Linked DNA regions of Oryctolagus cuniculus. The protein of the gene in region 2 purifies or fractionates together with the protein of the main gene of each other region. This does not show direct contact. Links are inferred from orthologs where the notes say so. Each region holds a gene or a part of one and is shown on either strand. Other genes may lie near its edges.

Region 1 (4,146 bases), on a different chromosome or scaffold from region 2:
CAGAAACCTCAGTGACATATGCCTAATTGCATAAGCACAGACAGCAAACTTAGGTTACTTACCGTGCACCGGGTGACTGCTAAAAACCAGGCCCAAGTGCCTCTGGAAATCCACTGTCTCTTCCCAGCCTGGGGGGATGTGTCTATGCACATTTGCTCCTTGTTGGGACCTCATCTCTGATAGCCCGGCTTTTACTAGTTTCTCATCTTTTTCAGTAACGGCAATTTTAGGTTCCCTGTTTTCTCCTGAGCAGCTAGCTGAGGCAGGTGGCAGGAGCCCACCAGATGGGTCCATTTCAATGCAGACCACGTTCAGGAGCCGGGATTAGTGATACTCAATTTTAGAAAACTCCCCCTGGCGGCCATGGGAGGACACCACGGCTAGATCCCGTTCTCTGCCCCACCCCTCCTCTGAGGCCGTGGTGCCTGCACGAGCCCGGCCCTTCAGAACCTGGGTCACAGGCTCGCTTCTCTCCCCAGATTCTGCAACACTCCACCCCAGACCTGCAGGGTCCTGCTACTCCCCCTGCTCTGTGGACCTCGGCGTCCCGGGACTGCTGCCCCAGCTCCTTACTCACCACTTATCAATCACGGTCCCCAACTCTATCGGTGCCCGAAATCCGACGCCCCTAGCCCACGACTGGCCTCGGAGCTTTTCCCTCGGGGAGCCCCGCCTCCGCCCCTCATCCCAGCTGTACTTGTCCGGTCCCTAGGGGGCCCTTCTGCTCCCCCTGAGCCCTGTCAGCCAGCACACTCCCTCCTGCTCCTGTCGGCCGGGAAGACTGGTGCACGACGGTCATCTCCTCGCACCCTGCGCCTGAACCCTGACCTTTGGCCGCACCCCTAAACCCGTCCAGTGGGGCGTGCGTGCGGCACGTCCGCAGCGAGCTGAGTCCCAGGCGCCGCGCCTCCCTCCTCCTGTCTCCTTCCAGGTCGCCTCGCTGCTGGGCGCCTGCACCTGCAGCCCCGGGGCTCGGACCCACGAGTAGCCCCGGTCCTGAGGCGCCGCGCCTCGCCTGCGGCCCATCCTCTCTCGCCTCCTCCCGGCTCGGCGTTCGGCCGCAGCTCTGCGGACCCTCTTTGCCCGGAGAGAGGGGTCATCGGGCGACCTCAGCCACGCCCGTCTCTCCAGCCCACTACACGCCGCTACACGCCGGCACTGCCCCACGCCGCCTCCGGACCCTGCACCAGACCTCGGACGCAGACCCGGCCTGGCCTGGCCCCGCCCGAGTCGCCCGACAGCGGCCCGCCCCCTAGCGCGATTGGCCGCACCCGCCGGGCTCTCCGCGCACTGATTGGTGGAGTCACGGATCGGTCAGGCCGGGCGCCGCGGCGGCGGCGGCGGCGGCGGCTGAGGGGAAGGGAGCCGACCGGAAGGGTCGAAGCGCCCCGCGCCCCTCACACCCACTGCGGCGGCGGCGGCGGGGCGGAGCGGGGCGGGGCGGGGCGGCCAGCCTAGCCGGGAGCGGCCAGCGCGCAGCGCCGCCAGTGCGCCCGCCCGCCCTCTACCCCGGCGCGGCTGCAGGGAGGCGAGGTGAGCCCGAAGGGCTGGCTAGGCCCGGCGTGGGTGCTGGGGTCGGGCGCGGCGGGGAGCGGGGTGGGCGCGGGGCCTCTGGGGCCGGGCCTCCGGGGCTGGCGGGAGCCGCGGGGTTGCTGGCGGGCCGCAGCCCCTGCCCGCCCGTGCCGCAGTCGCCCCCTCCCGCCCGCTGCCAGCGGCGAGGACCGCGGAACCTGGCCCCGCAGACCTGCCCGCGGGGGTCTGTGGCCCCCTCCTCCAGGCGGGCCGCGCAGCTGCCCTCTCGCCCCGGATGCTCGGTGGTCCCCGCGACCTTGGATTAGGCGCTGGCTGCCCCTTCGGGAAAGTGGGGCCATGTCTGATCTTCAAGACTGGGCTGTCTGTGGGAGCACCTGGACGCAAGTCTGTGCACACTGGTGGACTATAGGGCCGGATACTGCCCCTTGCTGGCGTGAGTGTGGTGGGGGCCCCCTCCCCACCCATCCTGTGCCTTGTCATTGCGCGCCCAGTGCTCAGCTACGCGGAGCAGGCCCTGCCCACCACAGCTCTTCCCCAGAGCACTGCTCCCTGGGCCCGCTAATCCTCCCACCTGCCAGGAACTTGCTAACCTCCGTGTCCCCGGGACTTTGCACCTGCTGCCTCTCCTGTTTACGTCGCGTCCAGGACCTTTTTGTTCCTTGCTCTGTCCAGATGTCTCATTTTCAGCGAGGCCTTCCTCGGCTACCCTCTGCAAGGGATCATTCTGTCTTGTTATTTTGTTTCATTTTCTTCCTAGCACTCTGAGTTGAAACTGTTCTATTTATTTGCCTCTCCTTTTCTGTCTTCCCCCACTAGGCTGTAGCTTTCTGTAAACAGGTAGTTGTCTGATTTGTCTGCTTTCTCCTGGTACTTATAGAAAGCATACAGTAAGTATTTGATAGTCTCAGTTCAGCGAATGAATGAATGATGTAAGGAGCGTGCCTACCTGTTGTCTCTGCTTTACCTGTTCATTTAGTGACTTCTGAGTGACTTGTGAAACTCGGAAGCTTGTTCTCATTTTGTAGAACATCTTAACGTCCTTGACCTCTTTATTTGGTAACTATGGTAACGAGCTATGATATAAAATGTTACATCTTTATAATGGTTTAGCTCTAACGACCTCCTAGTAAATCCAGGAGACAGCCACTGAATTCTCCATTATCTAGGTCATGCTTTTTGCTGGGCCCTAGGGACACAAAGGAGAGAGCGACAGGGTCCCTTCCCCCAGAGAGCCTGGGAGCCCCGTGGAAAAGGCATGACGCACAGGGTTGGTTCCAGGACAGTGGATGATGCCTGCGGAAGGGTGGAGCAACAGGTGGTGCTGGTGGGCCTCCACGCTTGCCAGGCCAGGAGAGGTGCAAAGAGTGTGAAAGGGCAGGGCCAAGGAAGGAACCTAACGCTGTGTGGCGTTGGCCAGGTGTGGGAGCGTGTAGTGGTGGGGACCCTGGAGGAGGAGCCCCTCGCCCAGCAATTTTCTAAAAGAAGCTTCAATCCACAGTTGCACCTGCACTCTCCTGATTTCTCAATATTGGCAGTAGCTGTTTGTTGTTGTTGTTGTTGTTGTGAGCCTAGCCAAATACAGACCTCATTCAGCCTGGTTGCGGGATTGTGGTCCTCCAGGACGGACTGTGGGTGGGAGCCCGGCCTGCTCAGGTGCTTACTGAATTGTCCCTGGGGCCCTGGAAGGAGCAGCGAAGACACCTGTTTTCACAGAGGAAGAAAAGCCCAGAGTCCCTGCTCTGCAGCACAATCCCTCACAAGACGATGCTTCCCTGGGGCCCCCAGCCCTGCCTGTGCTCCTCTGGCTTCTAATTCGTTCTGAAACAACAACACTCAATCTGTGTAATGCTTTCCTCCATTTAACCTTTTATTCTCTTCAGAAGTAACCAGTGGGGTTAAAAAAAATCCTATTTTGGCATAGACTTCTGTGGAAAGCTTTCATTTGCCTGAGGATTTAACTTTCAGGATCCTGGGACTTTAAAATAATTTAGTGAAAGGGCATAACTTTGAAATAAGTGTTAAAGAGTAGAATTGAATGTTTCTATTTAAAATAAAATCAGGTTTCTGGCTAAAATATCAGGCAAAGTGATTGTTAGTAACCAGTTATTCCCTGATGTCTCAGGTAACCTAGAAGTCAGGGATTTTTCTTAAGAAGTGCTGATTTGGCTGCAAGGCAACTATTTTTGGTCTAAATATGTACCTGGACTTCACACTTGGCAAGAAAGTTTCCATTTTTATATTTTTATCGTTAATTCTTTTTTTTAAAGATTTATTTTTATTTATTTGAAAGAGTTACAGAGAGAGGTAGAGACAGAGAGAGAGGACTTGGGCCATCTGCCACTGCTTTCCCAGGCCACAGCAGAGAGCTGGATGGGAATTGGAACAGCCGGGTCTCGAACCGACACCCATATGGGATGCTGGCACTGCAGGCCAGGGTGTTAACCTGCTGCACCACAGCGCTGGCTCCCACCTAATAATTAATTCTTAATCATTTGTACTTGATTGTATGAACAAGGTTTCAGCATTAGTCTTTTAACTGTTTATGATAGTGACTCTGAAAAGACACAAAAAGAACGGTATCCAGCTTCAACAGTTAGAAACCCTGGCTGATTT
Region 2 (4,129 bases):
GACTGTGTATGGGCCTGCACTTATGCAGAGGTGTCCAGGGGGATTTCTTCCAACAGCTCAGTGGGCACAGTTGGCCAGCTAGTCATGGCTTGACCCCTCCTGGTTTCAGACCCACATTGCAAGCAATTATATAAATATGCCCTACCACTTAGTCTATTTGTTAGGCCTGGAGACTGAAGCCTTTCTCTAAATACCTCCAATCAGTTAATGAAGAGACAGAGAGGGGGAGAAAAAAAAAATCACAGCCATCTATTTCCATAGTGTTCATCCTGTTTTACTGCATCGTCATTATTTCGCTTTGTGCCCCCTCCTCCCTGAGACAGGGGTGCAGGGGAGGGAGAAAAAGCTCTCTTTCTTCAGGATTCTTTGTTGTAATATCTCCACAGTTCATCTGGGTTTTTCCAATCCGTTTTGTTTTCCAGGGCAACTTTCCTGAAATTCTCCTGGCATTTTCCTGAGGCGGCGACCAGCAGCTTGCCCCGGCCCCGACTCGTGTCCCCTGCGCACCGGCAGGGGACCCTTCTGCCGGCCCAAGTCGGGGGCACGGCGAGCGGCGGCGCGGGCTCCTCGGCGCTCCTCCGGCTCCGTGCAGCCAGGCTGTGGACGCTGGGCTCCGGCTCTTTGCCGCCCGCGGCCGCTGTTCCAGAAGCGCCGGGCTGGCGGTCCTCCGCTCGCCGGGGACCGTGCTGGGTGGAGGGGCGGCGGCCGAGGCCAGCACGGCAGGCGGGCTGCGGAGACCCGACGCGCCGCGGGGGAGACGGGGTGGGCGCCCACTGGGGCGAGGTTCTGGGGCCCTGGGCGGTGCGCTGCGGGGCGCGGGGCGCCGGGCCCAGGGGAACCGCAGCGGTGCAGCGGCTCAGCGCCCGACCGCGGTCGTAGCGGACGTGGCCCCAGGCCTCTGCCTCCTCCGAGCAGCCCTCCGCCGCGCCACCTGTGAGCTCAGGGTCGAGCCCGGGGGCCCAGGCAGGCGACGGCGGGGGCGTGACCGGGTCGCGGATACCGGAGAACAAGAAGGAGGCGCGCTGCCGCTGCGCGGGGTACCAGTGGGGCCGCCGGTGGGGCAGCGACATCTGCGGGCCGCCCGGAGGAGGAGGGGCCGAGTGGCCGCCGGCCCGCGGCGGCTCCGGAGTCGGGGCCCTCGGTGCGTGGCCCAGGGCGGGCGGGGAGGGGGCGCCGCTCGCGGGCGGGCTCCGAGGCATCCCAGGGGGGGAGTCTTGGCAAAAGTGGGCGAATCCCGGGGAGGGTCTGTCAGGTCACAGCTCTCCCAGGTGGAGCCGGAGGTTGTCCGTGGTCCCCGGCCTTCAGAAAGTTACTCCGGCACTTTGGGCCGTCAGTCCAAAGGAGGGAGGAGAGATGAGGAGGCCGCGCGGCGGGTCTCAGGGCGAGGGGCGTGTGGACGGAGGATCCGGTCGAGGAGGGAAGAGCCTGGTTTAGCCCGAGCCGCCCATTGACAATTCAGCCCCGGAAAGGGTTAAGGCGGCGGGCCGCGCCGGCTTACATGTAAATAGAGAGCAGCTGCTCCGCGCGGGCCCCGGCTGGCTCTTTTAAGTTTTTGATTGGTTGCCAATGACATCACCGCCCGTGTTCTAACACAGAGGACCTGGAGCCGCGTCGGATAAACCCGCCCTGACGAGGCGAGGCCACGCCCACAGCTCCGCCCCCCTCGGCCGCCCATTGGCCGCGGGCCTCTATGAGGTAGCGGTCGGTTTTCTCCGGATTCCTACTGGCCCAATGCGCCGTCGGTCGCAGGCCAGCCCGCCCCCTCAGAATCTTACATTTACAGTGTAGCAAAAGAGAAAGTAACTATGTTGCTGCTGGAGATCAATGAAGCCAAGTGAATGGGGGCTGAAGGTGCGAGTCCTTAGCTGAAACCGAGCGCCGGGGGGTGGAAGGCTACACTTATTGATGAAGTAAGTGGAAGTCGCCGGGGCCACTCTGGAGAGCCCGGGAGTGGAGGTGCGTGTCTGTGCGTGTGTGTGTGAGTGTGTGTGTGTGCGTGAGAGAGGGGAGAGGGAGGCGCGATGCTGACCGAGGAGCCCCAGCAGGTACGCTTCCGAGCTTGGGGCTCCTGGCCCCGCTGCCCGGTGCGATTACTCGCCCTGCAGCCTACTCGAGTCGGGGGGCGAAGCAAAAGCGAGGTTTGTTGGGATGCTTTGCGGCAGTTCTACTAAATGCCCGGGGCTTCTCCACGCGCCGTGCGGCGGCGAGGAGGGGGCCACGTTCCGTGCCCTCGGAGCGGGCAAGGAGCACGGGCTAATCACTTAGTTTTTCTTTCCAGCCCCTGCCTAGCGGCGGAAGGGCGGCTGGCCAGGGCAGGGGGGCTCAGTTCGAGGTTTCTCCGGGAGGTTTCCTGGGCCAGACTGGATGGTTTCACGCGCAGCACAGACGCCCGACCGTCTGCTGCAGGGCTGCAGATCTGTCCGCACGCCCGGTGCGTGTGTGCGGGCCGCGCACCCCGTGTGGAGGCGGGGGTCCCGGCGCGCGAGCCTGCGGAAGCGCTGGCGCGCCCCTCTCGGAGGAAGCAGACTGTGGATCCTGGACGTGCCCCACCAGGTAACACAATAGCAAAGACTTCGGCTGCTTGGTCCCGCTGGGACACAGTTACAGCTTTTAGAATATGGAATAGTACTCGCTCCTCCAAAAAAAAAAAAAAAAAAATACTACGCATACGCAAGGGAGCAGTGTGTGTGAGAGAGCGACACCCGAGTCAGTGGGGACCTGCGGACCTGGTGGTGGGTGCATGCCCCTATGTGCGCGCGTGTGTGTGCGGATTCCGCCTGTGAACACTTTGGCTCTGTGTCAGAGAATGGTGACGATCGTGTGTAGACGGATGATAGATGACATTTTTCCCGGACAGCTCTTGAAGTTCGTTTGGGTGAGCGGCTCTTGCTCGGGGTTTGGTTTCTTTGCTGTGTGCATGTCTGATAGAGGAGTCAGTGGGGTCGAGTTGTAGGGTGTCCCTGAGCCCACAGGTAGGAAGGGACCATTCCTGTTCAGGTGGTCTCTGAAGACATCAGGGGTAGACTCCTGGTCTCCACTTCCCTGCCTCCCTTCAACAGGGACACGCTAAAAGGGAAGTCTTTATCCCATCCTTACTCTCCAAGGGGCAGATATCTGTATGGGATTAAAATCCTATACAAAGCAGCTGCTACCCACTGAGAAAAGCTCCAGGATGCATAGCAGGGGAGATGAAGAGGGCAGGAGTGCAGGAAGGATGGGGGGGAGGGGTTTCCATAGATAACTCCTTCGCTTCAGATTTTGTTTTAGGACACCAGTGTTTAGTGCAAAGGGGGGGGGGGATGCAGATTAATTAATGAGGCTACCAGAAAGCCTGTGAGGTTTTAATATGACTATGTTGTGCGTTTCAAAGGACCCAACAGAATGGAAAGCAAGACTCGCTCCTGGCCAAAGAGGTTCACTTAGGGGAATCCTTTCCCTCTCAGGTGCAGAAAGTTGACATCCGCCCTAATGTGTATTTAGCTGCTGTATATTTCTGTAAGCCTTGGCAATGCTCTTCGTCATCCCTCTGGCTTTGCAGGGAGTGAAGGGATGAAGTGGGAAGCATTCGAAGGTAGGCAATCAGGGCTTTCTCAGTTGCAGAATCCTCTGCTCAGGGCGTGAGGCTCAAAATAGATGCCTCTTAAGAACCTTCCTTTCTGTCTTCAGCTTTCCTAATTCTTGGTGCTTGTACCTTCTCCGAGACTGAACTTTGATGTCAGTCCATGACAGGTTGCTCATTAACATTTACAACATTAAGTCTGAATCGAACCCTAGACTTCACAGCAAAACTGATGGGGGCCCTCAGATTTGCATCCTCCTATGAATACATCCAAGCTTTGATAGCGGCAAGATAAAGGGCACTTGGGACTACTCTGCTCCGAGGGATGCAAAGGCCTTTCCTAGGGATTGGATGAGACTGCCTTTTGTATCACGTGTTTTTATTCTTTCTTTCCCCTCCCCCTTCTTTACAGACTATCTTGAGTTCTTCTTGAATTGCCAGTTTTCAGCCTCCTCATGCCTCCGTCTCCTTTAGACGACAGGGTAGTAGTGGCACTGTCTAGGCCCGTCCGACCTCAGGATCTCAACCTTTGTTTAGACTCTAGCTACCTTGGCTCTGCCACTCCAGGCA

The links. The genes of interacting proteins can lie anywhere in the genome.
Region 1: the proteins of DUSP10 (region 2) and MAPK9 purify together in Homo sapiens (affinity purification with mass spectrometry; 3 studies listed by BioGRID and IntAct, with this or other methods). This does not show direct contact. The link is inferred for Oryctolagus cuniculus from reciprocal best matches to the Homo sapiens genes DUSP10 and MAPK9.

Annotation. Positions count from the first base shown.
Region 1 is NC_091437.1:67,213,529-67,217,674, forward strand, and holds the start of MAPK9 (mitogen-activated protein kinase 9), read left to right. Parts: upstream 1-1,339; 5' UTR 1,340-1,533; intron 1,534-4,146. UniProt on the Homo sapiens protein: Serine/threonine-protein kinase involved in various processes such as cell proliferation, differentiation, migration, transformation and programmed cell death.
Region 2 is NC_091444.1:36,078,644-36,082,772, reverse strand, and holds the start of DUSP10 (dual specificity protein phosphatase 10), read left to right. Parts: upstream 1-1,326; 5' UTR 1,327-1,851; exon of another isoform or gene 1,852-1,956; intron 1,957-2,032; exon of another isoform or gene 2,033-2,553; intron 2,554-3,971; 5' UTR 3,972-4,014; coding exon 4,015-4,129. Other genes in the region: uncharacterized protein, read right to left, coding at 357-1,199. UniProt on the Homo sapiens protein: Protein phosphatase involved in the inactivation of MAP kinases. Has a specificity for the MAPK11/MAPK12/MAPK13/MAPK14 subfamily. It preferably dephosphorylates p38.